Lonchura striata: one gene and its partners. The main gene of each other region encodes a partner of the protein of the gene in region 4 in a complex. Links are inferred from orthologs where the notes say so. Each region holds a gene or a part of one and is shown on either strand. Other genes may lie near its edges. The genes, in order: MEAF6, SIN3B, ING3 and MORF4L1.

Region 1 (7,835 bases), on a different chromosome or scaffold from region 4:
ATGTAGTTTCTTGTGTTATTCCTGAACTTCTTCCAAATATCTACAGGCAAAAAAAGAGATTTGAACTTCTTTGGATTCCCAGCCCATGGGGAACCAAAGGGACATCCAGTCCTTTCGGATATTTGCCCAATTCAAGCTGCTGTAGGAAGGAAATTCTGACCCAAGAATTAAAGACACACTAATGACTCAACACTTAATGAAGGCAAAAAAGGAGTTAAGCATTTTTCAAGCATTGTACCTACCTCGTGTCCCCACCCCAACTACCCCAGCCCCCCTTTTAAACTTTTACCACTTTAAATCCTTTCTCTAATTGCATGGCAGGTCCCTTAAAGAGGAGAGCCTGTCCCTAGGCAGAGGCAACAGCTCAGAGCCAGCACAGACTGGCTCTGAGAGCTTTTAAAACTAGAGGGTTTTAAAAGCTCCATTACTTCTGTGAGATCCCTAGGCCCCAGCTTCAGCAATCCTTCCAGACAGCTCCATGTATCTCCTCTCCTCAGCTTTCCTCCCTCAGGGCCTGACTCACAGGCACTGTCACTGCCAGAGCCTGGGCTGAGGGCACAGGGACCAGCTCATCGCCCTCATGACACCTTAGGGGCAGAGCTGGACAGGTAAATCCAACCAGAAAAGAGTTCAAGGAATCTGTTTCACATAAATTTCAGGTCAGTTTAATAACAAACACTCTCAGGTGAAGGTGACACAGCAACTCCTCTATGCCAGCACTGAGACTCCATAGGGATGTGAGAGCTGGAAGGGGCTGCAGTGGAAATCCAGACACTGGGAGTGTCCAAAACCCCAAAAATATTCCCATTTGCTTTCCACCCTCCTTCAAAGAAAGCACTAACATTCCTGCCCTACAGAAACCAAGCAGCAAGCTCAGGAGGTCAGGACCTGATGGAAGGAACAAGCTTTATCCTGGAGAGATGGAAGAGCTGGAGAAGCTGCCCAGAAGCACAGCTGTGCCACAGCTGGAGTGAGCACCCTGTGCTGCTTGTTTAACTTCCTTGGCACTCTCCCCTCCTCTTCCAAAACCAGGAAAAACACCCAAACAACTGACCCCAGCTGCCTGTTGGTTATTCCAACGTGCTACTGGTTCCCCTCAGGCAATAAATTCAATCCAGCCCCAGCCAACTGTCCAGGTGTGGTGAGCAGGCTGCTGGTCCCACTGACCTGTGTCTGTTTTTGTTCTTTCTCTTTTTGTGGCTGCTGTGGTGGCTCCCAGAGGAAGTGGAGGAAGCAGCTTTCTGGGGCTTCACACCCTGCACGGAGCCATCCAGCTCTTCAGCATCCTCCTGGTTGGGCTCATTCTCCTGGTTGTGGAAGTCTGGAGAAGTGTCACTCTCTGTGCCACTGCCCGGCTCCCCTAGAGCAGGACAAAGCCAGGTGAGCACCAGGGTGAGCTCCTGGCACAGCCCTGAGTGGGAGAAACAACCCCAGCACAGCAGCAGAGGCACCTGAGCCCTGCAGCACCAGGTGAATCACAGAGCCTGGGACACAGCCCTGCAGGACACACAGGAAGCTGCTCCTCAGCACTGAGGAACTACATCCCCTTTGGTGCTGATCACAAAAACGTTTTTTCAGTGTCCTGGGGGTGTGTGGTCCCTCCCCAGGTCTCCTGTGACTGACACATCTACAGATGCAGTGCTTCAGCTCGTCCAGCCTCTTCCTCCACACAGCACCAAAGCAATTCCAGTCCCTTTTACACACAACAAAGCCCTCTGAGCCTGGAAAGAACTTGGGAAGTCAACAGGAGCAGCCCGAGGGCAGCAGACACAGGGATTGGGAAGGGGAGCCAGACCCCAGCCCAGATCTGGAAGGCTGAGACAGGGCTGAATGGTGGGGGACAGTGTAATTCTTCCCAAATTCAGAGAAAAGTGATGAAGGGACTTACGCTTCTCAATGAGCTGGTCCTGGACTCCAGCTAACGCACTGACAGCCTGGGAAACCAAATGGGATGTCAAGCCAAGCAGGGATTCACTTCCCAGTGCTCAAAGCATGGAGCCCAGCTCACACAGACACGTCCCTCTGATGCCCATGGCCCCGTGTGGCACCGGGGGTCTGGTGACAAAGCCAGGGGACAGCGGTGACAGCAGGCACAGGCACCCTCCCACCCCAAACACTGGGAAAGGGCTCTGGAAGGGGCTGCAGGGTGGCATGGGGATGCTTAGGGAGCCAGGGCAGGGATGGGATTGCAAATGGGGAAGTCATTCTGGAGGTGATCACAGCGGGACTGAGGCACCAAGGGACAGGGGTGGGATGGGGATAAAGCAGGAACAGGAATGGGGGCAAGGAAAGGGATGGGAATGGAGACTGGGATGGGGATGCTTAGGGCAGGGAGCCAGGGCAGGGATGGGATTGCAAATGGGGAAGTAATTCTGCAGGTGATCACAGCAGGACTGAGGGATGGGGAAAAAACAGGAAGAGGAATGGGGGCAAGGAAAGGGATGGGGCCAGGGATAAGGAGAGGGGTGAGCACAGCGGTCAGGGCTCATCCCGGCACTCACCGCTGCCGAGGTGACCGAGGACTTGCTGAAGAGCCTCTCGGCCTCCTTGAACTTGCGGTTCCTGCGGTCGTTTTTGCTGTTGGAGTTCCTGAAACAGAGACAGGCGGGATGGCGGGGCCGGCGGGCGGGGGACCCGGGCCGGCGGGCAGCGCCTCCGCCACTCACTTCTGGTTGGTGAGGTAGCGATCCCAGCCGCGGATGATGTTGCCGTACATCTGCGTGTCCTCCAGGTAGCTGCCCTCGAAGGCGTAGATCTGCCGCTCCAGGTTGGCCAGCGTCTCCTGCGGGAACGCCGCCGCGCATGGAGCAGGCCCGGCCGCGCCGCCCGGCCCCGCCGCCGCCCCGGCCGCGCCGCCGCCGCCCGCCCCGCGCCCAGCCCGGCCCCGGCGCTCACCGCCAGCTCCTGCTTGCGCTTCACCAGCTCGGCCAGCTCCCGGCGGGTGTCCGGGATCTGCGGCGGCCCGCCGGCCTTGGCGTGCAGCGCGGCCATGGCGGCGCGGCCTGCGCGGGGCGGGGCGCGGCGGCGCCGGGCGGCCGCCAGGGGCGCTGCGGAGCCGGGAGCGGCGGCGCCGGGCGGCCGCCAGGGGCGCTGCGGAGCCGGGAGCGCGGGGGAGGCGGCGGCAGCGACAGCAGCGGCGACAGGGACAGGGACAGGGACAGGGACAGGGACAGCGATGGGGACAGCGATGGGGACAGGGACAGGGACAGGGACAGGGACAGGGACAGGGACAGGGACAGGGACGGGGACAGGGACAGGGACGGGGATAGAGACAGGGACAGGGACAGGGACAGGGACAGGGACAGGGACAGGGACAGAGACAGGGACGGGGACAGCGATGGGGATAGAGACAGAGACAGGGACAGGGACAGGGACGGGGACAGGGACGGGGACAGGGACGGGGACAGGGACAGGGACAGGGACGGGGACAGGGACAGGGACGGGGATAGAGACAGGGACAGGGACAGGGACAGGGACAGGGACAGGGACAGGGACAGGGACGGGGACGGGGACAGGGACAGGGACAGGGACAGAGACAGGGACGGGGACAGGGACGGGGACAGGGACGGGGACAGGGACAGGGACAGGGACAGGGACGGGGACGGGGACAGGGACAGGGACAGGGACAGGGACAGCGATGGGGACAGGGACAGGGACAGGGACAGGGACAGGGACAGGGACGGGGACAGAGACAGGGACGGGGACAGGGACAGGGAGAGGGATAGACACAGGGACAGGGACAGGGATAGACACAGGGACAGGGACGGGGACGGGGACAGGGACAGGGACAGGGACAGCGATGGGGACAGGGACAGGGACAGGGACAGGGACAGGGACGGGGACAGCGATGGGGATAGAGACAGAGACAGGGACAGGGACAGGGACAGGGACGGGGACAGGGACAGGGACAGGGAGAGGGATAGACACAGGGACAGGGACAGGGACAGGGACAGGGACAGGGACAGGGACAGGGACAGGGACAGGGACAGGGACAGGAACGGGGACAGGGATAGACACAGAGACAGGGACAGGGACGGGGACGGGGACGGGGACAGGGACGGGGACAGGGACCCAGATAGGGACGGGGAGAGGGAGAGGGACAGGGACGGGGGACGGGGACAGGGAGAGGGAGAGGGACAGGGGCTGGGATGGGGACAGGGACGGGGACAAGGACGGGGACAGGGATAGCGATGGGGATAGAGACAGAGACAGGGACAGGGACAGGGAGAGGAACGGGGACGGGGACTGGGACAGGGATACAGGCAGGGACTGGGAGAGGGACAGGGACGGGGAGAGGGACAGGGACGGGGACAGGGATAGAGACAGAGACAGGGACAGGGACGAGGACGGGACAGGGATAGAGACAGGGACGGGGAGAGGGACAGGGACGGGGGATGGGGAGAGACAGGGATGGGGACAGGGACGGCGACAGGGATAGAGACAGAGACAGGGACGGGGGACAGGGACGGGGACACAGGGACAGGGGCTGGGATGGGGACAGGGGACAGGGGCAGAGGCAGGGACGGGGACAGGAATAGCGACAGCAGCAGCAACAGGGACAGGGAGAGGGACAGGGACGGGGACAGGGATAGAGGCAGGGGACAGGGACAGGGAGAGGACAGAGACAGAGATAGAGACAGGGATGGGGATGGGGACACAGGGACAGGAACAGGGACGGGGACACAGAGACAGGGACAGGGATGGGGACAGGGACAGGACAGGGATAGGCACAGGGACAGGGATAGAGACAGGGACAGGGATAGAGACAGGGACAGGGACAGAGATAGCGGTAGCGACAGCAGCGGCAACAGTGACAGAGACAGCCACAGAGACGTGGTGGCGACAGCAGCGATGGGAATGGGAACGGTCGGTGGTTCTGCCCACCCAGTGATTCAGGTAGTCCCAGTTCAGATATTCCCCGGTTCAGACATTCAGACAGTCCCCAGTTCAGATATTCAGATATTCCCCTATTCAGATATTCACATATTCCCCGGTTCTGCAGTCTTCAGGGTCCCTCTGAAAGCAATGAGGGATTTGTCTTTACAAACCAACTGTGGGGAGGTAAAACTAGCGCTGAGGTAAAAGCAGCAGTGGGATTTCACTGATTGATGAATGGAATGAGAGGGATTTGTGTTTACAGATCTACTGTGGGTCTGCTGATAAATAAAATTGGATATTGAGAGATGAAAGAAGTAGTGGGAAGAAGCATTGATTCTATAGGAATTCCACTGACTGACAAGGAAAAGGTGGGGGTATACATTAGAAGGGGGTCTGTATTGGGAAGTTTGTACCTCTCAAATACCTCAGCCAGTGGGGAAAGAGAGAGGGAAATGTGGCTGAGAAATTGGGATAAAAAGGAGGCTTCATCCTCTAACAACTTGAGAGACTCGATGGGAAATGCCCCATGGCCTCTCCCTTTATTGGAATAAAGTTCCAGGACTCCTCTGTCTCTTTTTTGGGCATAACCCTCAGGTGTGGGTTAGTTTTCCTGACACCTCCAACCCAAACCTTTCTGTGATCCTATTAAACTGTGTCGCTCCGATCCTCTGCAGTTTGGGGGCCAGTTTGCCCTTTTGCAGTACAGCAATTCTGGCACCTCCCATTCGGAGCTTAACAAATCTTTTGATAGGCGCTGTCACTCCTTCCCAAAAATCCCATTTCCCACAATTTTTTCCCAAAAATTGCCATTTCCCCCATTTTTTCCCCCAAACACCCAATGAAAAATATTACAACAGAAAGCAATCATGGCTAAATTTACAAATTGTTTATTTAAAAACCCTTGGAGCAGATATAAAGGAGCTCCTCCTGCTCAAACCCCATCCTACCCATCTGAAACCCCACAGCAATGCCCCATATTTACACTGTCAATGTGTACAACAAGCACCTTTGTGTACAGTCTGTACACAGCAGGGACGAACAGGTGAGACCACAAACACCCAGGTGAAATCAGTGAAGGGTGGGATATACACACTGAACATAAAGCAACGTTGGAGGAGACACCAAAAACTGCAGCTCCCACTGAGTGGGACTGGTGCTTCCTCCCTGAACACTGACTTCTTCACTGTGCTCAACAAAGGACTTGGGGAAGTTTTTATAAAAAGAGAACTTAAATAGTGCAAACTGGTTAAAACACGTCACCCTGTCACAGGCGTTTCTGTCTGACACAAACCCTGGGGTGGGGGTAGAAATTAGGGCTCTAGCTTACAACCCAGACACTCCACATCCAGGACAGTTTCAGCATCATGTGTGGGAACAGGGAACTTGGGTCACAGTCTCATCACCTGAAATTCCAGGAATTATTTAACTTCTGTTTCACATTCCCTTGTGATTCCTAGGTGGAATTCCAGTGAAATGCCCATCCCTCAGTAACCATGAGGCAAATTAGATACCCAAAACATACAAATTCATGAGGGTCTTTGCACATTTCTGCCATTTTAGCAGTGATTCAGGTAAATTCTCCTGTCAGAACTCCCAACAGGCAGAGGAATTTGGCAAGCTACGGAAAAGAACGAGCATCAGGTACTCTATAACCTTTCAGTCTGTAGCATTTTCAAAGGGATATAACAAAACAAGTCATAAAAATTTTCCAGATGCTGTCCGTGTTTGACATGGTTTGCTGGAAGAGTCTGACAACATCTGTGGAGGGTTTCCAGCACCAGAGTTTTCACATCCAGGTGCTCTTCGGCTTCTTGGGAGAAAAATAAAATAAAAATAAAGCTGTATTTCCTGATATGCAAAACTATCAAACACGAATAACGAGCAAAGCCCCCCCAAAACAAACTATGGGAACAGACCAGCAACACAGAAAAGACTTTAAGGCAACAAGAGGCATCAGTGCTGCAATGCTCCGTGTTCACATCCCAGTCCCGTTCAACCACGAGGAGTTTCTCTCCTCTGCCTCTCCCCTGCTTCTTCCTCATCCGTTAACTGTCAGACTCTTCCTCCTTCTCCTCATCCTCATCATCGTCCTTGGCGTTGGCCTCAGATTTATCTGAGGACTCGTGGAGCAGGACGTACTCCCTGCTGCTGAAGCCGAACTTGAGCACATCCTTCTCCTTCAGTTCGTAGTAGCGCTGGGGCTCGATGCGCTGGTTGTTGAGGAAGGTGCCGTTCCCCGAGCCCAGGTCGATGATGTAGGGCCTCACCCTGCGGCCCACGGTGCCATCAGCTCGGGTGTACTCCACCAGCCTGCAGGACAAAAGCACTGCCTGAGCCACCAGAGACACGGCAAGGGCGCTGAAAGCACGTGAGGCACAAACTGTGCTCCACGAGCAGTGGTTTGTGCAGTGAACACTCATCTGAACCAAGGAGAGCAACAAGAAACTGCGAGACAGCGGATTCTGAGAGAGGCTGCATCATCCCTAAAGCTCTGCTGCTGTAGCACAGAAGTTCCTGCATTGGGACAGATGTTCTCCAAGAGAGCACTGCTGGCAGCAGCACTCCTGTGTCACTGTCGAGGCAGGACAGGAATGAGAAGACTGGCTTAGAAGGCTGCTGAGAGTAAAACTCCGATTTATTCAAAATACCCTGCTCTTTTATAAAGAGCTTCGTGAGGACCAACTCCATTGGTCCTGAAGTGAAAACAACCCAAACTATTGGTGCAAAGTGCTTGACACACAGTGATAGAACTTAACTATAAACAATGTGAATAACAAGAGAGACAAAGAATTATTTACATTCTTGTCCAGCTCTTTCCCAGGCTTCTGCCCAGCTAGAAACTCTCAGTTTCTTTCTTTGACTGAATCTGAGACCCACACTCCTGTGCATCACAGCGAGCAAACAAACCAACATCTCCTTGAAATGCTCTCACAAACCTTGAAATGCTCTCACATCCG
Region 2 (7,420 bases), on a different chromosome or scaffold from region 4:
TGAATTCCACGGAATCAGATTCCAAGGGAATTTGTGATTTATCTTCTTTGTAGGGAAGCTGCTGCCGAAACTCCTCAGAGCAGTCGCTGTGGTTGTGGGAGTTCTCCTGGGAGTAGTGCAAGACCAGCCCACTGCCAGGGAGTGCACTGGGGACGGGCTCTGGGGGCACCTGGGGGCACAGGACACACGAGATGGGTTGGAAAAAGATCAGGGACCAGCTGAACAACAGCCCAGCAGCAGTGCTGGCAAGTCTCCAGCTGAAAAATAATGTCACGTGAAGAAGGAAGAAAAAGGAGTTCAGTCACCAATCAATTTCCCTACCTGGTTTATTAACTCCATCAGTTAAAATAATGCCTGAAGTTCTCCCTGGTGTAAGAACCACCTGATTTGTGGCTGTCACAGCCTTATTGGCCTCAACTGAGAGGCTGCACCAAACACCACTGCAGGTTCTGCTACACTGGTTATTGCAGAGGAGCTGCCAGTTTTAAGGGGCATATTAAACATACAGCCCTTACAGGTGTTAATTCCTAAGCAACACAGGGATCTGAGGGAGCTGAGATTTAAAAGGTTGTTCCTGCTGCTAACTAGACTTACACCACAAGTTTATCAGCAGAATTCAGTTTATGGCTGTATTTCAGCTCCACACAGTAATAACAAAAATCAAGCAGGGGCGACATCCATCTGTATCCCAGCAAGTGGGTCTCACACCAACAGTATCTGATGGGGATTCCATGATCTTAAAGACCTTTCCCAATGTCAACAACTCAATGATTTCACAGTTCTTTTGCCTGTTTCCTAAGCAAGTTTCCTGGTTTCTCAGTGGAAGACTGGAAGTGCAATTCTTCCAGGATCACCCCTTGAAATTTGCCACTACCCACAACCCATACTGGGAACAATGTCAAGCCAATTCCAGTTTCAGTTTCCAAACACGACTGAAATATTTGGTGTTGAAATGGTGTTTCCATGCAGAATCATCATTCCTGTGTAAGTCAAACTACCTGGTTTGAGAATAAATTGGAGGTTGGAACTAGGTGATTTTTAAGGCCCCTTGCAATCCAAAGCATTCTATGATTCTTTGCATAAACATTTACATTTATATTACACCCATTAAAAAGGCTTTAAAAACATCAGCAACAAGCACTATACATAAATCTCCACAGCCTAAACTGTGCAGACATGTCCAGTGACACATGGAACAGTTTATTTAGAGGATAAGAGTTCTGTGACCTACCTGACTATTCAAAGGTGACTGTATACTTAATTTCCCATTCTTTGGAATTTCTATCCTGTAGCCCAGAGGAAGAAATGCATTGAATCCTACAATGAGGTCGGGATGCTCATGGAAAAGCTGAGAAACACGTCGGATGACTCCAGGTGTGTCAATGCTAAAATTGAGAGGCGCTTGTTACTTATTATCCAAATCAGAAACACAAGTTAAGCCCAGAAACTGCCAAGAGAAATGTGAAGTATCTAGTAAATTAGGGGTGCAATTATTTAAAAAAACAATTAGCCAAATTAGAGGGAATGACCACTGCAGCTTCACCCTGGGAGTGTTATCCTTGGGGAGGAGAGATGAGTGTGCAGGTTGGCAAAGGGACAGGACAGACAGCCAGCACCTCCAGAGCTTGCAGGTCACAGGTTCTGTTCAGGTTGCTTCACTTATTTCCCAGATCTGCGTTTCAGAGTGGAAAGCAAAAGCAGATTTGCTTTTTCCTGTGCATTTCACCTCTGGAAAATTATGGGATGGGCAGAAGTACTCCAGCTTCACAGAACTGCACCACTGGGGAACAGGGCAGTGAGTGTGCAGAGGAGGAATGATGGGGTGAAGGCTGGGGGGCTCTGCAAAGGCAGAGAGACCCCACAAAGGCTGAGACCTTAGGGAAGGGCTGGAGCTGTGCCAGGCCTTGGCATGGAGCTCAGGGAAAGGTTCTTCCCCCCGAGGGTGCTGGCACTGCCCAGGCTCCCCAGGGAATGGTCCCGGCCCCGAGGCTGCCAGAGCTGCAGGAGCGTTTGGACAGCGCTCTCAGGGCTGCTCAGGGTGGGGCTGTTGGGGGGTCTGGGCAGGGACAGGGGCTGGGCTGATGATCCCTGGGGGTCCCTCCCAGCTCAGGATGTTCGGGCCTCTGTGAAATGCTGATGAGGTCCTTAGAGCACCCTGGGGTGAAGGACCTTGGCTTTACCTCTGGCTCTTGAACTCCTTCATGATCTCCAGGAAGCCGTTGTAGGTGGCAGGGTCGCTGCCAAAGCGGATCTTCACCTGGTCCAGGTAGGACAGCGCATCCTCCACCTGCGGGGTGAGAACATGGTGGGGAACAGGCCCCGGAGCCCCCACGGCACCAGAACTGGGGCGGGGGCACCTCAAGACACCCTCAAGGGGGTGGGAACCGGCGCCGGGGGAGCCCCGCAGCAGCGGCGGAGGGCACTCGGTACCGGAGGACGGCAGGCCCCGGCGGGCTGCCCGTGCCCGGGGGTGGCACGGCACGGAGGGGGGCACGGCACCGGGGAGCCGGGAACAGGTCCCTGGGGAGGATGACCGCAGTACCTGAGAGGAACAGCAGGGCCGGGGAGAGGGGCAGGGCCCAGGCGAGGGGGGAACAGGCCCGGGGAGCCCTCACGGTACCGGGGGAACAGGACACGGAACCGGGGGAAGGGGATGCAGCCCCAGGGGACCCCACGGAACCAGCGGAGGAAGGCGGGGATGCCCCCGGCGCGAGGGGGACGAGCCCCCGGGACACCCCCCGATACCGGCGGGTGAGGGACAAGCCCTGAGGGGCGAGTTCGGCACCGCAGCCGGGACGGGGCAGGTCACGGCGGGGGCGGGCGGGGCCGTCCCGGGGGGGGCGAGGAGCGGCCATTCGCGGGGGCGGGGGAGGGTGGGGAAGGGGCGATGGCGGCCCCCGCACTCACGTGCACCGGCAGCTTCTCGTGCGGCGCGGCCCGGCCGCCGCCGCCGCCCCAGCGCGGGGCGCTGCCCCCGCCGGCCCCGCGGCCGCCGCCGCCCCCCGCCGCCATGTTGGAGTCGGGCGGGCGAGCGCGGCCCCGGCGGCGCGCGCCGCCGCTGCGTCAGCGCGCACGGCCCAGGCCACGCCCCCTCCGCAGCGAGACCCGCCCCCTCCGTGCCTCCGCCCTCTGATTGGCCACGCCCCGCCATAGACCACGCCCCCTCACCGCCCACAGGGTGTGGCCACGCCCTCATCCGTGCAGGCCACGCCCCCAGCGCCGCTTCCGGCCGTTCGAGCGAGCGGCGGGAGCGGCGCCTCAGCAGCGCCTCAGCAGCGCCTCAGGGACCTCCTCAGGGGCCTCCGGGGCCCAGGGGGAGCTGCTGGAGGAGCCCGGGGGGCTGCGGGATCCCTGGGATCTTTGGGAGTCTGCAGGAGCCGCGGGCTGAGCACTGGAACTGCCGGGGCTGGAGAAACGGCGACTGGTGCTGCGGGGCTGAGGGAGCCGAGGGGTGTTGGAGAGACTCAGACGGGGCTGGAGGAGCCCAGGGGTGGCTGGGGAAGGCCGGGGGAGCTGGTGGGGCCTGTGGGGAGCCTGAGGAACGAGGGCTGGGGGAGCCCCAGGGGCTGGAAGAGGCAGGGGGTGTGGAGGAGCCGGGGTGAGAAGAGCCATGAGGGGGTTTGGGAGAGTCATGGGGGGGTTGGGGGAGCTGGAGGGGCTGGAGAGCCCGGGGAGCCCCTCAATGGTGTGCCCTGAGCTCAAGGGTTGCTCTGGGGTAGCAGGGTAAATGTAGGCTTAAAATATGCCACTTCCCCCAGCAGTTCCTGTCAGCAGGCAATTTGAACTCAGTAAAACTGAGTTACATGAAGAGCAAAGAGGAGAGGGGGAAAAATAAAGCCGTGTGATTTGTTTTTCTTTAAAGCATTACAGATGATTTGCATCATAGAAAAGTGCAGAGAAGCCTTTCTTGCTTTGCCTTTAAACTTGCTGCTGGTATTTGAGCTCAGAATATTTTTCTCTATGTTGTGCTGGAGTATTCCAGCTGTTTGCAGCTTTCAGGCAGGATGCTCACACACGGCCTCTGGATGTGATATTCCATCCCCTGTTCTGATACTTGCACAAACTGCTGCCCTGTGACCCATTTCCCTTCATACAGGAAGGATTTAATTAATAAAGACTTTTTCTTTCACAGTTACTGCTTTCAGCAGCCAGACTGGTGGATTGATTCAGTGACCCAGCATACAAGTATTTATCATCTTTGGAGAAGCAGGCACTGCAAAGGCCTTTCAGGAGAGATGTGGGCTGAAAATGGCATTAGATTGTTGTGCTGGTAAATACAGGTTGGAGATGTTTTAGAGTTTTCAGTGGTTATTCAGTGCTTAAGAATAGAGATAATAAATACAGATTTTTACAGGAGTAATACTGGAAGAGTGGTGGGAGCCAAATACAACTCCTAGGTTATGAAGCACTCATAGCTGTGCAGGAAAGAGCCTGGTAGGGAACGTAAAGACCTTTATTCCACCTGTGGAAAGGAGTAGCTCAGAGATATCTTTGGTGTGTTGTCAGGCAAAAGAAAATCATTGATCCAACCCCCTGCACCTCTTTTATTTTTTCCTCCTGGATTCTCCTGAGCTGGCCCAAATTCTGTTTTCTGTTACTATTATTAACTTGAGAAGTCTCATCCTCTTCCCTGGTTTGTGCCATGTGGTGACATGAGCAGAACCAGCTGCAGGTAACACCTGTGAGTTCTGTTTTCTGCCAGAGCACAGTTCCCAGCCCTCAGCCCCTGCCAGCACCAACACTGACTGGTGAATCCAGCTGTGAGGATGCTCCCAGACCAGCCCTGGGTGCTGGGAAAATGTGCCTGACATTTTGTCAGGATTTGGGTGTTCTTGGGAATCCTGGGAGCTGGATGTCCATTAACCATTGACACTCAGCTCCTGGTGTCTCAGAATAGCTCAGCTCAAGTTGCTGCTGACAGAGCTCCAAGAGAGCTGCCAAGCAGGAGATCTGTGACCTTCCAAAGGGAGCCCTTGGGCCCCAGGGCACTCCTAAGGACTGAATCCCTGTGATCTCCAAGGAAATCCGGGATCTGGGTTCTGATGGTGTGCCTGGGCCTGTGGATCTGTTAGGAATAAATCATCCCGGCCTGTGGCAAACTGCTCCTCCTGCCTCTTGATTGTGGCTCTGGAGGAAGGATGACACTTGTTATAAATGAAAACTCCAATTTAATAATTAAAGAAAATGTATTAAATGTTCCAAATATAAATTTAGAGAATAACAACGAAAAGCCACTATCAAAAAAAAAGGGTCGGTGCCGAGCTCGGGTCTGACACAGCTTTGACTGCTGTGGCAGAGGATGCTTCACACCGACTGTCCCATCTGACCATTTTTAAACGATATTTCTTGCCCGAGGCAGAGTCCCTTTTCTTCCTTTTCGGACTGCAAGTATTCATGTGGAGTTCTTTTCTCTGTGGCAAATTGAACAATACATATCTGAGAGTGATCCAATTCCTGGAATTCTTATTGAGATGTATCTCCCTGATGGCTCTGGCTATCTTAGTCTCAGATATTTATCGAGTATTTATCGCCTCAGGCCACCTTATGGATGATCCATCTCCGGGCTGGCCACGTTCATTTGCTTGTAAATTAAGTCCTCCCTCCCTTGTCTGGGTGGTCTCCATCTTGTGTTGCATTCCCTGTCGCTTAAAAACTTACTAGAGTTTGTCTTAACAGTATATAATTATAAAATATACGACAATTTTATTTATTGTCATGTATTATTTATTTATGTCATGTACACATTATATGTGTACATGAATTATCATGTACACGTATAACAACAGTGACATCCTGCCTGCAGTTCAGTGGGAAGACAAGGGCTTTGTCCCGGGAAAAGGAGCTGGCTTTGCTCGGATATTTCCAAGCATCTCACTCAGGCAGGTGTGTGCATTGTGTCACACCCTTCACCTGTGAAACAGGGAAATCTGAGAGACTGCCCCTACTCTGTCTGCCCTCAGATGGGCTCAGGATTGGCTTCCTTACTTGGGAAATGGCTTATTATTCATATTTCAAGTTTTCACCTGTCACAAGCTGCAACCTTCAAGGTTGTGGCTGCAAATCTGTGGTTCTTTCAGCCCCTTTAAGCTAAAGACTGACAGGTACCTTTGTACCTGAGGAAGAACAGACAATCCTGTGTCCCTCATCCACAGGAAGGTGATGTGAGGACTGTTCTTTGGGATGCATATTCTGGATAATGAACCTACCTCTGCCAGAAATCAAATTCCAGATGTTTAGCCTGTGGTCCATGACAGAAACACCACAGGTTCCTTTTTCAAACACTTTCACACACCTCGCCTCAGCTAAGTAAGAGAGGGGCTCACAGAACGAGGGCTTCTCTGTTGTTTTGCAACAACATGGCTGGGAGATGTCTGTGTGCCTAAAGATCCAGGACTGCCATGCTGACACAGCTCTTCTGAGGCATGAAAGCAGCCTTCCAGCCCCAAAAATTGGAGAAGGCTCAGCAGAGTGCCCAGGAAGGGCATGCAGCATCTCAAAAACTTCCATATTCCAGACAATCACAGAGCCATCCTGGGAAGCTGCCACCAGCAGCTGGCAATCAGGACCAAGTGCCATCGCTGTGACACACAGAGAGGCAGGAGAGGCTGCTCTTGCTGCCACAGACAGAAAAAGGACATTTTTGAGCTTGTTTATGTGCTGTGTTTCCCCAGCTGGAACCCCAGGTCCTGTCTGAACCCCGTGGTCTGTGCCAGGAGCAAGATTAGGTTCCTGCAGACATATCTAGGTCAGTGTGTGCTGTTGTTGTCCTGGCGACTAAATGACCCACTTTCTCCTCATTTGTGGAAGCAGCTGCCAATGGGGCCAGGGCATGGACAGCACAAAGGCACAGCACCTTCCTCCTGCCTTTGTCTCCAGGCTGGGCTCCTACAGAAACTGGGCTTTTCTCCTCCAAATTTATTGTGCTTCTTGCAGGGAAAATCCCTCCTTTTGTGAGCCCCACTCTTTCTTGATAGCTGAGGTGAGGTGTGTGGAAATTTGAAAAAGGAACCTGTGCTGTTTCTGCTGCCATGGATCACAGGCTGTGCATCTGGAATTTGATTTCTGGCAGGGGCAGGTTCATTATCCAGGATATGCATCCCAAAGAACAGTCCTCACATCACTTTCCTGTGGATGAGGGACACAAGATTGTCTGTTCTTCCTCAGAAGAACACAATCAATTCTTCCTTCCTGTTTATCGTGTTTCTTGCATCTCATTCATAACAGAGGGATAATTAGAAATATTGTTGGGTTGTATCTGCCCCAGGAATGATCCTACCTTTGAGGAGAGGTGAGATCCTACACACAGCCCTGTGAAGAACTCCACACAGTGGGATGAGCACAGGGTAGGGACAGACCCTGCAGCAGCTCAGGCACTGCTCCACAGCCACCCCACGAGCTCCAGGTAGGAAGCACCAAGGCA
Region 3 (7,715 bases), on a different chromosome or scaffold from region 4:
CAGAATGAAAAAAAAAACAGATAAAGAAGTATTCACATAAACATATGGATTGCTCATGTAAGCTTTATTTCCTTAGGAAGTCAGGATAAAACATTTCAGTGATTAATATATAAACAGCAATTGCTCATATCCTGCAGATTTTCAGGAAATAACTGAAATCTGCAAGCAAATTTAACTGACTCTGTAGTAGATAAAATTAACTAAAAGAAGAAGATATAATTGCCTGAGTCTGTACACAAAGTCAAGCTGAAAGATAAATGGCAGTTCCATTTTCCTGTTGACTGTTAAAACAAATTAATTATCTGGGGTTATGGATTTTCTTCCAGAAACAGGAATGTGAATCTCAGAATCCAAGAGTTTGTAATCAGCAGAAAAGGAAACTGATTTCTCAAGAGAGATTAACATCCAGGCACAATATTCCTGGGCCAAATTTGCCCTTTTCAGGGATTGTTTTATGGAAGTGTGAAGTTCCTGCATAGTGCTGCACTAAACTAGGATAACATTATGTACTTAAAACTCTGACACAGCTTTTTCCTAGGATCCAGTTTTGGATGCAGTTTCCTATTACATAAAATTGATTGCTCAGAAAAAATACAATCATGCTGTAATCCTTAGACAGTGCTCAGTCTCAAGACAATTCAGTTATTTAACTAATGTCCTCCAATAGCCATGGTGTGCAGTACAGCAGGAATGATAGTTATTTCCTGCAGAGGGAAAGTGAGGCTGTGGGTGATGCCCCTGCAGCAGCAGAAAGGGTGGAATTTGGGAGATGGTGGAGTCCATGGCAGCTGGGAGGGACAGCTGGACTGCAAAACTGGGTGGACTGGAAGGAATGGAAAAAACAGCTGCAACAGCAGAAAAATAGCAGGCAACAAACAGGATGTGAGGAGGAATTACAATAAAACAGTTGAAAGCATGTGAGGAGACCAGCAGGCCTGATACTGACAATGGCAGCCAGAACTGCTGGGAACTGTGCGATCCACAACACATGCTCGCAGCAGTGCACCGTGGTGAATGGATTCTGGCCTGCCTCACAGGACTGCTGGAGTGCAGCAGGAGCAGGTGCCAAAGAAAACCAAACTGCTCCTTTCTGGTAGTTTAAGAGCTACCCAGGCTTGCAGTTTTATGTAGGCTCTGGTGGATGCCACTTAGCTGTCATTCTGTCTGGAAGTCCTGAGAGCCCTGAGAAACACACAGATGTACATCGCAACCTCTGCGTGCCACAGGCAGGGAAGCTTGCTTGGGAGAAAGCACAGTGCAGGAACCTGCCAGCAGTAGCTGAGACCCGGAATAACAATCTAGGGATGGGCTAGGTAGGTCTTTCCTGATTTTTTTTTTTTTCAAATAATATCCTTAGAAATGTGTCTTTTTTGAAAACAAAGAAACAAAATGTAAGGACTGTAAGTCCAGAAACGCTGTATTAGGTAAGAGTTAAAATCAGAGTACTAAAGTAAATACAGAACTGTGGCAGTCCTAAACGCGTACAGAAAGCTCCAGCAATCAATCATACAGCTCAGAAGATTGAATGGATTTGGAAGGAAGAAGGAAAGAGTGGTATCAACAGATAGACTGCAGCTGCAACACGAAGATGGAAACGATGGAGTCAGATGTGTCAAACAGCTCTACATATGGGAAGAGATAGAAGCAATTAGAATAGAAAAAGGACATTACAGAGATATGGAATGGGTAAGTGCAGAGAGAGGGAGATTTGAAAATCATAACCCTCATCTGAGAAGTGCACATCAGAACATAAATTTATGTTTCAGCTTTTTTTTTCCTGTCAGCTGAAAACTAATGGAACCTAGGCAAGCAATTAGCTTTAGGTAGATCACAGGGCATCTATAATATTCCTTTGTGTCATCACTCCGTCACAGTGATGAAACATGATTTATGTGAAACATTTGCTGGAGAAAAGCCATCAACATTAATAACATTATATAAACAGGAGAAAACAGCAGCTCCTGTGGCCTCCCTTCGCTTCCTGTGCTAAGCAGCTCTGTAGCTGCAAAGGAGTTTTTTGAGCAATGTCGATTGTAATTCACAAATTGAATTTTTTACCTTGAGTTCACAGCTGGTGTTTAGTTCTTTTTCACTGTATTTGCATTCCAATAAACAGTCATTAATCCCTGTTTCCTTATCAGAAGCTGTTCTAATTAGGTTGTTCTAAAAGTTGAGTTAATCAATAGAGTTAATTCTTTGCATTTATAAACAACAGGAAGTTTTCTATTGTAAAAACAGTTTCTTTTTTATGGTCTCTTGGCTTATCACTTCTTAAATGTCACCTTAAACTCAGTGCCATTGCTATGTCATGATAAACAGCTCTGACACAAGCAATCCTATTGAAGCTGGCGTGGCTAGTCATTTGACTATACAAAATGAGTTAATATGGGCAGAAAGGAAAAACATGAGCTTTTTCATTTGTCTAAAAGTACTAAAGAAGACCACAGGTAGATAAATAAGTTCCTGTTTTCTTTTCAATAGTGAACACATTGAATTGTATTTTCCTTTGTAGTTCACCTCACAATCCCCTGCCATGCCTTACTGTAAAGGGAACAGCAAACAGTTTTCTGAGCAGGTCTCTATTTCTATAAGAGACTCACATTACAATAGACCACTACACATAAACAGGGGGAGTTCTGAACTTGCAGACAGCATCCAGCCCCACTAGAGCTTAATTTTCCTGTTTCACTAAGAGACACAGAGCACATGCCATTACTAATGGAAATGGCTGAGACACAACCCCAAGAGCTGTGTTCCTTGGTCTCCTTGGTCTGTGCACCATAACATACATAAAATACCCTGGCACAGTAAGCCTCACTGAGAATTTTGCTAGCTAACCCCAAGCTTGCAAAGATGAGTAGAGGAAAAGTCACAATGTCCCAGTGTTTGTGCTGTCCTGGGATTTTTGGTCATGTGACAAATGGTAGGGACTTACTCTATGACCATATTTCAGTTGCGGTTCTAAAAGTGGTGTCTTTGTTTACAGTATTTTTCTTAGACTTCAGCTGCATGAAATGTGCTCCCCAGCATGTGTACAACTTTTTTTTTCTTTAAAAATCATTAAAGCCACAACTAAGCACAAAAGAAAGTGATGCTGTCAATTCAGATTTCCCCTAAATTCACCTAGCTTTTCTCCTAATAAATATAGGATGTTGTTACTTTGCTGTGCTTTTGCATGGATTAAGTTCTCCTGCTGCATCAAACCCTTTCATTTCAGTAAGGGCAGGCATTTATCTTCCCACAAAGGGTCAATCTTGTGTTTTACATACCAAACTGGGTCAAGCAATTTCCCACACAAAACTCTAAAAATACTGTTATGCCTACACCAGTCAGTTCTACAGGAAAGAGATCTGTATGAGCAATAATAAAGAAATTATTTCTATTAAGACTAACTGAGCTTAATGACCATCTAAAATCTGTTCTCATTTCTATGTGTAAGAGTAGTTGATATTTCTGGTTTGGAAGTGCAGACTACATGGCTGATGATGGAGCGAGTATGGAAAGTGACCATATTGATGAAGCACTTTTTCACAAAGTTGAAAAGTTATTGAGAGCTTATTTTTACACCTTTTTCATTCTCCCCCATCTTTAATGACAAAAGGAATTAAAACCCCTCAACATGCCTGCTATACCATGCGTATTCAACACATTACTACCCTCAGTCATCATAAAGGCTATATACAAAATGTATTGTTTCACTTCCCAAAATTCAGTCATCTTTAACTAACTACTCTCAATACATGAACTTCAGAGATGAGAGAAGTACCACTTTCCATTGGTCTTGGCTCTCAAAAACATCCCATACAAGTTTTACTCATACTTGGCTTAAGCATACATTTCCTTTTTGCTTGGCCACATCTGGCACAGATAAAGACATGGAAACAAAAAGCACAATAGAAAGCAAGCCTCCTCTGTTACCACAATTCTTATGCTCCTATACTTACACCTGGCATCATACAAGACCCAAAATTTTCTTTCCCCAGGCAAAAAAAACAGATCTGGATAAATGCATCAGTCCATGCTTAAAGCAGTAAATAACAGCAATAGAAGAGTGATGAAAAAGACTCTTTGGGGGAATAAAACTCTGAAAAAACCCAGTCTCAAACGAGTGAATTACTGCAAGTATTGTAACTGGATGGCAATCAGTGCTCTTAGCCAAGTTTGGTTTTACACTCTGAACAGCAATCCCAAAGCCCTCTCCTGAGGCTGTCCGTAGCTGTGACCTGCTCTGAACGGAGCAGCTTTTTTAACTTGTGCCGTCAGAGGTCACGGACTGAAGCAACTTCATTAGTTCTGCTGTTTTTAGTGCTTTTAATAAGCCAGTGCCGGCTGCGAGCATCTAAAACAGACAAGCAAAAGCCTCGAGAGTGGTCAAGGATCTGCGAGTTCTCCCTTCCCGTTCGCCTGATTTGCGGCGCTGCGGTCGCGCCCCGGACGCTCCGAAGGGCCGAAAACTGCTCCCGAAGAAGAGCGCCGCAGCCCCTGTGAGGCGGGAACAGCCCGGGAACCCGGGAACGGCCCCGGGACCGCGGGAATGGCCCCGGAGTGCGGGAACGGCACCGGACACGGGAACGGCACCGGACACGGGAACGCCGGGCGGGACGCGCAGTCTCCTGCCGGCTCGCCCAGCACAGACTACGCTTCCCGTGAGGCCGCGCGGCAGAGCGCGGGCCGCAGTGTGCGTCAGCGGCGCGAGCAGCCAATCGCGGCGCGGCCGCGGCGAGCGCCGTCCGCCGCCAATGTTGTTTTCGCTGAGTCGAGGCGCTGGTGTTGTTGGCGGCGGCGCCATATTGGAAGGGACGAGCGCCCGCTCTCGAGCAGCCCCTGGGCGCGGGCCCGGCCGCCGCCATGCTGTACCTGGAGGACTATCTGGAGAGTGAGTGTGTGCGCGGCGGGGGCGCCGGGCGGCCGGGCACGGCCGGTGCGGGGGAGCCGGGGGAGGCCGCGCCGAGGAGGCGGCGCCCCCCCTCCCCCACGGCAGCGAGTGACTGACTGGCTCCCCCCTCTCTCCCTCCCCCCTCTCTCCCGCTCCCCCGTGTCCCCGCAGTGATCGAGCAGCTTCCCATGGATCTGCGCGACAGGTTCACCGAGATGCGCGAGATGGACCTGCAGGTGCAGAGTACGTGAGTCCCGCCCCCGCCGCCTCCGCCCGCCCCTCCGCGCCCGCCCCGCCCCGCCCCGCGGGCACCGGCCCCGCCGCCGCGGCCCCGCCGCAGGGCGGGCAAGGCAGGAAGGAAGGGAGGGAGGAAGGAGGCGAAGCGGCGCCGCTCCGGCCCGCGGCAGCAGCTCCGCCCGCGGCAGCAGCTCCGCCCGCGGCAGCAGCTCCGCCCGCTCTCCCGCGCTGCCCCGGGGCGGTCGCGCCCCCTCCCCAGCCCGGCCCCGGCGCTCGGCCCGAGCGCGGCTCGTCATCTCCCGCTGGCCAAGCCCGTGCCGAGCGGCGCGATGAGCGAGGGGCGGGGCGCACGCCGCCGGCGCTGTCGCGGCTGCCCCCGGCCAGCCCCGCGCCCCCGCCCGCCGGGCCGCGGCGCGGGCGGCGCCCTAGCGGAGCTGCCTTCTGGGCTTGTGCTGCTCCCAGACGCCTTTTCGGTGGCACGTCCCAAACTCTTTAGATTTTTGATCCCTAAGAGCAGTGATGGTGGTTTGGAACATGAGTTATGTCCCACTCCTGCCAGTAGGCAGCGGCATGCTCTCCCTGAAACTTTCCAGCCAGCTCCCTAATAATAACATGGGAAGGTGCCATTTGCTCGGCCCTTTGTGCCCTAGCTGACATGCAACCCAAATATACTTTATGCTCTCGGTTTTATACAAATTATAGAAATGCTTACTTTTGTACAAGTATATATTGTATACAAAATACATTTATAAATACGCATCAGGTTTCTTTGTAGATGACTTTGTATCTCTGCTTATAACCTGATGTAATACACTGCCTTAGGCTGTTTTCAGGCTGCATTGCCATTTCATCTTTTCTAATGCAATCTTGTTTGGAACTTAGGTGTCCTGTAACACCCAGGATAGCTGTTGCAGTCTTTTAACACACAATTAATATGGTTAGCTATAACTGTGATCAAAAAGTATTGATTAATGAAACTGCTACTGCACAAAAGATGAGAGCAAACATCTTTTTTTGCAAAGGGGAATGAGAGAAAGAACAGAGATTGAAACAACAATGGAATACTGTATAGGAGTACAAAATGCAGCACTAAGTGGGATCAGTTCTGTAATACTGTAAATACTGTAAAGTGATTTCCATTGGATATTTATTTCAATGGACCTAACAAGTCTGTTTAACAGGCCTTATTAACACATGTAGAACTGTCTATAGGATTTTTTTTTTGTGTGTGTATTATCACCTAAACATTGTCTTGGGTTCAGTGCTTAAAGTTGTGGGAACTGTCATGGCTCCTGGGACATAGCACCTCTGAAGTCCCTATCACCAGGGAGAATCATGAGGGGGAGTGAGCAGCTCCCTGACATGGACAGTTTGGAATAAGTTCACAAATTTTATTTCATTTCTCTTCCATAAGAAGGCAAAGAGAATACTAGGTTATTTTTTTTTAGGTGTGTTTTAGAACTGAGGCAGCTAGCAGTGCCAAGACAGCAGATTGTAATTTTCTCTGCTTTAACGAAAATTACAAATAACACTCCATGTTGTTTACTGAAAATACTAAATGACATTGAATATTGTGTACTAGGACCAACCTTAGGTGTAGAGAAATTTTTCTTCAGACATTGGAACTTCTGTAATTCTGTGAAAAGATTGGCAAGGTATCCAAAAACATTTATGAAACTTCTGCACTAGCATCTCTTCAGCATGACTTGCCCAACTGCCTGATGAACACTGTGTGCAAACCTGGAGGTTGTTTTGTGTCTCAGAAGTACTTGAAAACAATGCTTTGATGAGTGATGCTGTCCCAGAGATCTACATGATTAGTAATTCAGAGATATCTCTGCTTCTCTGCTTCAGTGTCGTTGTTGACTTTGTATTCTGTCCTGTTTGAACCACAGTGACTCCTAATGAGGCAGGTTCTGCTGTTTATAGTTGGAAGAAACAAAAAACCGGGTCTATCTGCTGTATATTCTGATAAGATTGCTGTGGAAAAAGCAAAGATCATCTGAGCTGGGACTTGACTCTTGAGCTTTAACTGAGCTTCACATGAAGGGTTAAATGTGTTTATTTAAGTTGAAATCATGGATTATCAGGATTTCATGCTAAAATGTCAATATCTAGAGAAAGGACTGTTCTCATGGAAGTTTTGGCAACTCTCTTGTGAAATTTAACTTAAGAAATTACTATCTCAGAATATAGTGTCACAAGAAAAAATGGATGAACTTGAGTGTAGCAGAGAGAACTTAACATATAGTTTAATAGACCTGACCTGAACTTGGCTTTGCCTTTTCTGCTCTTTCAGGAGAGACCAAGTTTCTGTGGAAATTTTCCCCTAGGCAGTTCACCCAGACTGATAACACGTCCTCAATAAAAAGTGAAGAGGGAAGATACTTTTTTATCATTTCTTCTTTATGGAGCCACTAGAACAACTAACACTTAAGGTGTTTGTGCTCAGAGGATAGGAGATAGAACATTTTGTCTTTTGGCTTTTTAGACCAAATTAGAGTCATTTGGTCAAAGAGCAAAGATTTTAGAAGCCTCCATATAAAGTGTGTGCTTCTTGCTTGCCTCTCAGGCTTCTTAATATTCTCTACATGATGCAAGT
Region 4 (7,803 bases):
GAGAAAAACAGATCAAAGGAGCAGGAAGAAAGCCAAGGTTGTTATTCATTACTACTGACAAAGCAGCTTTTAAAATGAAACTCTTTAAAATAAACAAGTCAAACCTTTTTAAAATTAAACTTCAAGATCATTCTGCCAGCGCAGGAACGCTGAAGGACCCACTGGGTACAAACAGCCAGCCAAAAGCCACCTGTGAGCTGGGAAATCCCTTGCAGCACCCAGCTGGCACAGCCTGCTCCTGCAGCACTCATTCCACCCTGGCAAGAGCAGGGCAAGCACAGCTGCTCCAGCTCGGGGCTGGCTGGGTGGCACAAGGTCATTGCCTCAAAGCCAGAAGCCTCCATCACCCTCCTCTCTGCAGGCACAACAACCCTGAGCACACATTCCCAACAAATCCCACAACCTCATCCTTCTGATCCAGAGGCAGGAAAGAGCAGAGTAGGAGCCCTAAGGTGGGAATGGTTTGGAGCAGCCCAAACCCTCTCAGTGCTCTGGGAGAGATTTTAGCATTACAACAACTCTTTCTCCTGAAGAGAGAAGCTGAGCGCTTCTCCTGCCTCCCTGTGTTAACATCCAAAGGATTTAAATCCCTGTCTGAGGTGCCCCAGGAATTTCTGCACACCTTCCAACCCACACAGCCCCAAGAGCCCTTTCCTTCCCTTCCAGGGGGAGTGGGGCACTCAGACACTGAGGCAGCAGGGGCACAAATCTGCACTGCAGGCTCCTGTGGTGAAAGAGCCAGAGCTGGGAAGCAGAACTGGGACTGCCACGTCCTTTGTCACTGCAGTGCAGCTCCTCCTGGGCACTGGTGCTGTGGAAGGCCACGGGCTGTACTCAGCCCCCTCCCCCTGAGCAGCTCAGGCACCAAATCCTGCAGGCACAAAGTGTTCTGGGATATTTCCAGTGTTCAGTGTTCTGGGATGTTCTAACAGCCTCTGGGAGCTTCCCAAAATAGCTGCACGGTGCCACTGGGCTTCCTGAAATGGTTCTGGAATAGAGCCCCAGGGTCTGAAATTGATTTCAGACAGCTTTCTGTTAAATTTAGTTCCAGTCCTTGGTCCCATCTAGAGGCACAGCAGACAGAAACATGTCCTTGTTTTCCTGGGCAGCAGCAGGAGCCACCTGCAGCCTCCCACACCCACCTTGGCTTCATAAAGGAGAGGTCCATGGAAACACAGCACTCGCTCACCTGCAAGGGAAACACAGAGAAACAGCTCAGGGGCCATGCCCACAGCCTGTGCCCCAGGAACAGCACAGGGAAACAGCTCAGGGGCCGTGCCCACAGCCTGTGCCCCCAGGAACAGCACAGGGAAAGAGCTCAGGGGCCATGCCCACAGCCTGTGCCCCAGGAACAGCACAGGGAAACAGCTCAGGGGCCCTGCCCACAGCCTGTGCCCCAGGAACAGCGCAGAGAAACAGCTCAGGGGCCATGCCCACAGCCTGTGCCCCAGGAACAGCACAGAGCAGCCTGGGGGCAGCTCCCAGGCAGGACTGACCCCAGAAACAAATGCTCTGTCCCGGCAGAGGGATCAGAGCAGAGATCCCCGAGATGCCAGAGCAGCTGCACACACACAGCACACAGTGCTGGTGACTCTGGCAGCAAAGCCCACATCCCTGCTCCTCCCTGACATCCCCAGAGCTCCTCCCCAGCCTCGGGGAGCTGCAGCCCCCACAGCAGGCTGGGCTCAGCCACAGGCAGGCAGAGCTGCCCCTCTGAGGGGTCACTGACCCAGGACACTGTCTAACACCCACCTCTGCACCTGAAGCTCCTGCCACTGTCACCCGTGTCCTCTCCTTGCAGGAAGGGCAGCACATGGCATTGCCAGCCCAGGGGAGTCAGGAAGAGAGACCCCCATGCTGCTTCCCCACGTAGCCTGTGGGGCAGGGCAGGGCTGGGCAGCAGCAGAACCCCCTCACTGTGGGCTTTGGAGCAGGATGACATTGTCCCTCAGGCCGGTTTTATCTCCTCGTGGCCAAGCCTCACTGTGTGGCTCCACTGAGGGAACTGCAGGATGCTGAACCCAGGATATCTGAGGGCACATCTCCTCCTGGAAGCTGCAGTGCTTTCTGCTTTTGGGAAGATGAGCTGTGGAACTGTGAAATGCCTCTGTGTCTCACAAAGAAAAAGGCGCTGGTTGTCCACATTGATGCATCACACAGTTGGTCCTTTTATTTATTTAAAAATGTCCCTAGAGACGGGGCTGACAATCAGAGGTGGCATTGCCACCCTCATCGTCACGGTGCTCACAGTGCTGGTGGCAGACACACCTCAGCCTCAGAGCTGGGCAGTGTTTTGCAGGAGAGATGCCCACAGTTACCGAGGAACATTCATTTTTAACAACACAGGGATGATCCGCAGAAAGGGTTCTTTGTCTCCATGATAACCCGGCAGGCTCCTGCTCCCTCACACACGGGCTGATCCCTGGATCCACACGTTGTTCCTTACAACAAAGCTGATCTCATCCCACCCTGCCATGGCAGGGACACCTTCACTGTCCCAGGCTGCTCCCAGCCCCGTCCAGCCTGGCCTGGGACATTCCAGGGATGGGGCATCCATCTTACACTGCACTGCTATTTCCGTTTCTCTTACTTTATTAATCTCAACCTCAACCATCACCTAAAAATCCAAATATACGTCGAAAAATCCTCCTAAACAGCCCGAGTCATCCTTACCCACCTAAACCCCGGTGCTCTGCGGCAGATGTGGATTCCAGCTGTGCTGGCATCCACCGCTGCCTCCATGAATCCTCCTGCACTGGGCTCCCTTCCGGGCGACAACAAACAAATAAAAAAAAATAACAACCATTTTCCAAACGCACCAAAACAAAACCCCCGACACACCGGAGGGCTCGCAGCCGTTTTAACACCGAGGAACATCCGCGCAGGAAAATGAAGGATAGAACGGGGTGGGGAGGGCCCGCGTGCTGCCGGGAGCGGAGAGGAAGGCCGGGAAGGGACAAAGCTGCGGGAATTCGCTTTCCCACCTATTCCCAGCGGGTCGGGGCTGAGCGGGGAGCGCTGGGGCCAAACCCCCCCGAGCCGCGGGGCCAGAGCGGGGCCAGAGCGGGGCCAGAGCGGGGCCCCGCACCGGGCACGGCCCCGGGCCCTGCCGCACTCACCCTCCTGGAACTTGGGCTTGGGGTCCTGCTTGGGCGCCATTTATAAGGGCCGGTCCCTCCTCCGGCCGCTCCCGCGGGCCCCGGCGCCGCCCGGCCCGGCCCCGCCGCCGGCCCGGCCCCGCCGCGCAGCCGCGGCCCGGGCATGCCGGGACATGCAGTCCCGCCCGCCCGCTCCGCCCCGCCAGCCGGACCGCTGCCCAGAGCGCGGCTGCCCGCGCCGTGAGCAGCCGGATCGGGCCGGGGGGCGAAAAAATTAATGAAAACCGAGAAAAAACGGGAAAAACGCAATGCGCCCAACGTGGGGCTCGAACCCACGACCCTGGGATTAAGAGTCCCATGCTCTACCGACTGAGCTAGCCGGGCGCTACGCACACCCAGCGGCGGCAGCGGGTGTCGGCACCCGCAGTAAGGGCGTTCCCTGCTCCGGCCGCCAGAGGGCGCGCCCCCGGCTGATTGGCGGAGTTAGCATTATCGCCTAATTGGCGTAGTTAACATTATCGCCTAATTAAACTTTGTCCCAAACGTAATCCATCAGCGGAGGTGCGGCCGTCCCGGGGAAGCTGTGGGATGCCAGAGCTGCGAGCAGCCCCCGAGGGGGTAATTAACAGAGAGGAGTAATCCCGCGTGTTTGCTCCCGGTGCGCTTCAACACGAGAGAAAATAAAAGGAGGCAGCGACAGGCAGCCCCGGCAGAGGAAAGGGAGTACATGGCGGCATCAGCCAAAGACCGTTTTTTATTTCTGACCGAAAATTCGCTGAATTTTTGTGATTTTTTTAATCGCGGTCCTCACGGCCAGGCAAAAGATGCAAAGCGGCAAGGGAGCGCCAGGGGGCGCCATGGGCCACGCTGGCAACGCGCAAATAAACCCCGCCCCTAATGTGCATAACCACGCCCCTTAATTGACAAAACCCAACCCCTAATGTACATAACACAGCCCCTAATTTGCATAACCGCGCCCCTTAATTGACTAAGCACCACTTATGTGCATAACCCCGCCCCTTAATGTGCATAACCCCGCCCCTAATGCGAATAACCCGCCCCTAATGTGAATAACCCCGCCCCTAATACACAGAAACCCGCCCCTAATGTACATAACCCCGCCCCTAATGCGCATAAAGCCGCCCCTTAATGTGCATAACCACGCCTCTTAATTGGCAAAACCAGTCCCTAATGTGCATAACCCCGCCTTTTAATTGGTATAACCCCGCCCCGAATGTACATAGCCCCGCCCGTCCGGCGTGCATTGATGCCTTGAGAGGCTGCCTGGAACAAAACCGGGCAGAGTTAAAGGAATAAAGCAGGGATTTATTAAATCCCTTCACAGGGTACACCTTGGGCAGTACAAGAGCCTGAGCGTGGCTACACCCAAGTTGGATTCCAGGTCATGATTTTTCACACTTTTATAAGTTTTGGTCCATTTCCATATTGGGTTAATTGTCCAATTGCAGCTCCAGGTTGTGCGGTCCCATCCTGCCGGGTTGCTCTCCTCAATTTATTGTTTGCACTTTTTGGTGCTGAAGCTGCAGCGGTGTCCTTGGCTCTGGGCTGGAAAAGGATTGCTCTGTGTGACTGAGCTGTGAGGGAGCTGCTGACACTCTGTAGGAAGCTCCAAGCTACAGACTAAAGCAGTGCAGAATGCGGAAAATGGGAAAGCTGAAACTTAAGGCATCAATAGAACCCCGCCTCCTGATGTACATAACCCCGCCCCAATATGAATAACACCAAACACGAATATCCCCGCCCCGCGGAGCCCCCAGCCCGCCGCAGCCATGGCGGCCCCGGCCGCGCTGCGCCCGCTCCTGCCCCTCGTCCCCGTGGCCGCCGCGCTGGCGCTGGCCGCGGGCGGGGGCACCGCGGGGACAGGTCCGGGGCACGGCTCGGCGGGACCGCGGGAGGGGCGCGGGGGTCCGCGGGGACGGGGGCGGGATGGCCGCGGAGCGCCGGGGGTCCGCGGGATTGTCCGCGGGAACGAGCGCCGGGGGTCCTCGGGGATGAGCGGGGGGAGCCGCGGGATTGTCCGCGGGGATGAGCGCTGGGTGTCCGCGGGATTGTCCGCGGGGATGAGCGGGGGGAGCCGCGGGATTGTCCGCGGGAACGAGCGCCGGGGGTGCGCGGGGATGAGCGGGGGGAGCCGCGGGATTGTCCCCGGGGATGAGCGCTGGGTGTCCGCGGGATTGTCCGCGGGGACGAGCGGGTGGAGCCCCCGGTGTCCGCGGGGATGAGCGCTGGGTGTCCGCGGGATTGTCCGCGGGGATGAGCGGGTGGAGCCGCGGGATTGTCCGCGGGGATGAGCGGGTGGAGCCGCGAGTGTCCGTGGGATTGTCCGCGGGATTGTCCGCGGCAATGAGCGCCGGGTGTCTGCGGGATGCTCGCGGGGCGCTCGGCGGCGTCGAGCCGGACAGCCCGGTGCCCGGAGCCGGCAGCCGCGGTGCCCGGAGCCGGACAGCCCGGTGCCCTCCCGGGAGCCCCGGAGCCCTCCCGGCTGCCCCGGTGCCCTCCCGGGAGCCCCGGTGCCCTCCCGGCTGTCCGCGCTGAGCCCGCCCGGGGCGGCTCCGGAGCACTCAGTCTCCGCGGGCGCTTTGCTCCTAGAGACGGCGTGTCCCAACACCGCCTCAAAGCGTGGATTCCATTTTTCGGGAGATTTTCGTTGTTTGTTCGGTGCTTTTTTCTCCTTGCAGCTGGAGTTTAACAGCGGGAGTTAATAGGGGCAAGCCGGGGCCGGGCTCCGGAGCTGCCTGACTCCCCCTCGCCCAGCCGGCCCTAACCCGGACCTTAATGCTGTCCCCGGCAAAGCCCAGCGCTGGCCCCGGGGGCAGCAGGGGCAGGCGAAGTGCCTGCTGTCCCTGCAGTCCCTGATGTCCCTGCTCTCCCTAATGTCCCTGCTGTGATGTCCCTGCTCTCCTTGATGTCCCTGCTGTGATGTCCCTGCTCTCCCTGCTGTCCCTGCTCCGTGCCGTCCCAGCGGGCACATCCAGCTGGTGTCCCGGTCCCTGCCGCCGCCAGCGGGGGAAGGGGTGTGGGAGGAAAGGTGAAGAACCCTGCGGGTAACCCCGGCACCCCCTCTCCCCAGAGCCGCGCTCCGGCAGCGACATCGTCCATCCCATCAAGGTGGACGAGCGCGGATCCTTCCTGTCCTACGACTTGTCGCACCGGGCCCTTCAGCGGAGGTCTCCGGCCTCCAGGAGCAAGCTTCCCGCCTTCTACGAGCTGCAGTACAGAGGGCAGCCCCTGAAATTCAACCTGAGCCTCAACAGGCACCTCCTGGCCCCGGGCTTTGTCAGCGAGCGGCGTTTCGGGGGCATTGCCGGTGCCAAGATCCAGCCGCGCTCCTCCGACTCGTGCCACATGATCGGCGAGGTGCGGGGCCGGGCGCTGCAGGGCGGGCTGGCTGCCCTCAGCACCTGCGATGGCCTGGTGAGTACAGCCCCTCCCCACGGAGCCCTAGCCCCTCGGGGAACCCTTTGTCCCGCCAGGAGTGACACCAAAATTCCCCGCAGCAGAGCCAGCATCTCCTCGTGCAGGTCCGGTGCGGCCATGGACGAGCTGACTGTAAATTTCCCATGGATTGCAGTGGTTTGGGAGCTCTCCAGGGCTGGGTTTACTTGTTTGTGTCCGAATTCCTAAAAAGAGCAATTCTCTGCCTGCTGCTACGTGATGGGATTGTGAGCGAGGGGCTGGGAGCTGGAGGTGCTGTGACAGCACAGCTCGTGGGCAGCAGTGAAGCTGCTTGCTGTTTCCTCGGCTCCACCGTCGGTATTTCCTGAGGCAGCAGTGACCTGGAGAGTGGCATTTTGGGGGAAAGGGCTTAGAACCTCCTGTGGGTTTGCAGAAATGGCCCCACGTACCTGGTGCTGCAGTGCTCATGCTCGTGTCCCGCACTTTGGAGGGAGCACAACTCCATGGGATCCTCCATGGCTTCCCACTGCCAGAGGGCAGGAGTAAATGGGATATTCTGGACAATCCTTCCCTGTGAGGGTGGGGAGGGCCTGGGCTGGAATTCCCAGAGCAGCTGGGACTGCCCCTGGATCCCTGGCAGTTCCCAAGGCCAGGTTGGAACCGAGGACAGTGGGAGGTGTCCCTGCCATGGCAGGGGTGGCACTGGCTGGGCTTTAAGGTCCCTCTCCACCCCAACCATTGCACTGTGATCGCTCCCAGTGCCGGGTTCTTGGGGCTGAGCTGGGCTGCAGGTGGCCTCACGGGGCCCTTTGTGTCTCCCTGGCAGAAGGGCGTGTTCCAGCTCATGAACGAGGACTATTTCATCGAGCCCGTGTCCAGCAGCCCCCGCGAGGAGGGAGCAGCGCAGCCCCACAGGATCTACAAGCGCCAGGTGCCCAAGGCCAGGGCTGAGCAGGGCAGGAGAGCCCCGGCCCCGCGGGCGTCCTGCGGCGTGCCAGGTACTGTCCCTTGCTCTGTGTCACCCACGGGTGCTGCCCTCGGGCCTCTGGGCTCAGCTCCTGCTCCCAGCCCTGCTGCAGGCAGGGGGCTGATGTGGAGACTGAGCTTTTGCTTTCATTTCCACAAAAACTTTGGTTTTGAGCTGCCAGGGTTGGACTTTGGGAGTGGAACTCGGTGGCTGGCCCGGGAGTTCCCAGTGTGGGCAGAGTGCGTGTGGGTCCTTCCCTGTGCAGAGCAGATGGGTTGGATAAACTCCCAAACCCAGCATTTCCAGTGCTGAGGAATTCAG

Evidence for each region.
Region 1: MORF4L1 (region 4) and MEAF6 share a complex: the UniProt entries of both Homo sapiens proteins name them as parts of the nuA4 histone acetyltransferase complex. The link is inferred for Lonchura striata from reciprocal best matches to the Homo sapiens genes MORF4L1 and MEAF6.
Region 2: the proteins of MORF4L1 (region 4) and SIN3B are in contact, whole or in part, in a cryo-EM structure (PDB 8BPA), measured with the Homo sapiens proteins. The link is inferred for Lonchura striata from reciprocal best matches to the Homo sapiens genes MORF4L1 and SIN3B. Residues at the interface, in NP_996670.1 of Homo sapiens: Gln217, Gln219, Tyr222, Ser348, Tyr350, Glu351, Val352, Ala353, Pro354, Pro355, Tyr357, His358; in NP_056075.1 of Homo sapiens: Cys394, Arg396, Arg402, Ala403, Pro405, Lys406, Thr407, Tyr408, Ser462, Phe463, Pro464.
Region 3: MORF4L1 (region 4) and ING3 share a complex: the UniProt entries of both Homo sapiens proteins name them as parts of the nuA4 histone acetyltransferase complex. The link is inferred for Lonchura striata from reciprocal best matches to the Homo sapiens genes MORF4L1 and ING3.

Annotation. Positions count from the first base shown.
Region 1 is NC_134628.1:4,680,958-4,688,792, forward strand, and holds the start of MEAF6 (chromatin modification-related protein MEAF6), read right to left. Parts: upstream 3,014-7,835; 5' UTR 2,992-3,013; coding exon 2,896-2,991; intron 2,783-2,895; coding exon 2,667-2,782; intron 2,590-2,666; coding exon 2,502-2,589; intron 1,935-2,501; coding exon 1,889-1,934; intron 1,361-1,888; coding exon 1,168-1,360; intron 41-1,167; coding exon of another isoform or gene 16-40; exon of another isoform or gene 1-15. Other genes in the region: SNIP1 (smad nuclear-interacting protein 1), read right to left, coding at 6,924-7,188.
Region 2 is NC_134630.1:3,955,814-3,963,233, forward strand, and holds the start of SIN3B (paired amphipathic helix protein Sin3b), read right to left. Parts: upstream 3,013-7,420; coding exon 2,908-3,012; intron 2,288-2,907; coding exon 2,181-2,287; intron 1,386-2,180; coding exon 1,232-1,385; intron 170-1,231; coding exon 1-169.
Region 3 is NC_134607.1:32,932,712-32,940,426, reverse strand, and holds the start of ING3 (inhibitor of growth protein 3), read left to right. Parts: upstream 1-4,707; 5' UTR 4,708-4,848; coding exon 4,849-4,876; intron 4,877-5,047; coding exon 5,048-5,119; intron 5,120-7,715. UniProt on the Homo sapiens protein: Component of the NuA4 histone acetyltransferase (HAT) complex which is involved in transcriptional activation of select genes principally by acetylation of nucleosomal histones H4 and H2A.
Region 4 is NC_134613.1:23,960,858-23,968,660, forward strand, and holds the start of MORF4L1 (mortality factor 4-like protein 1), read right to left. Parts: upstream 3,005-7,803; 5' UTR 2,878-3,004; coding exon 2,820-2,877; intron 1,190-2,819; coding exon 1,143-1,189; intron 1-1,142. Other genes in the region: ADAMTS7 (A disintegrin and metalloproteinase with thrombospondin motifs 7), read left to right, coding at 5,373-5,547, 6,190-6,533, 7,342-7,513. UniProt on the Homo sapiens protein: Component of the NuA4 histone acetyltransferase (HAT) complex which is involved in transcriptional activation of select genes principally by acetylation of nucleosomal histones H4 and H2A.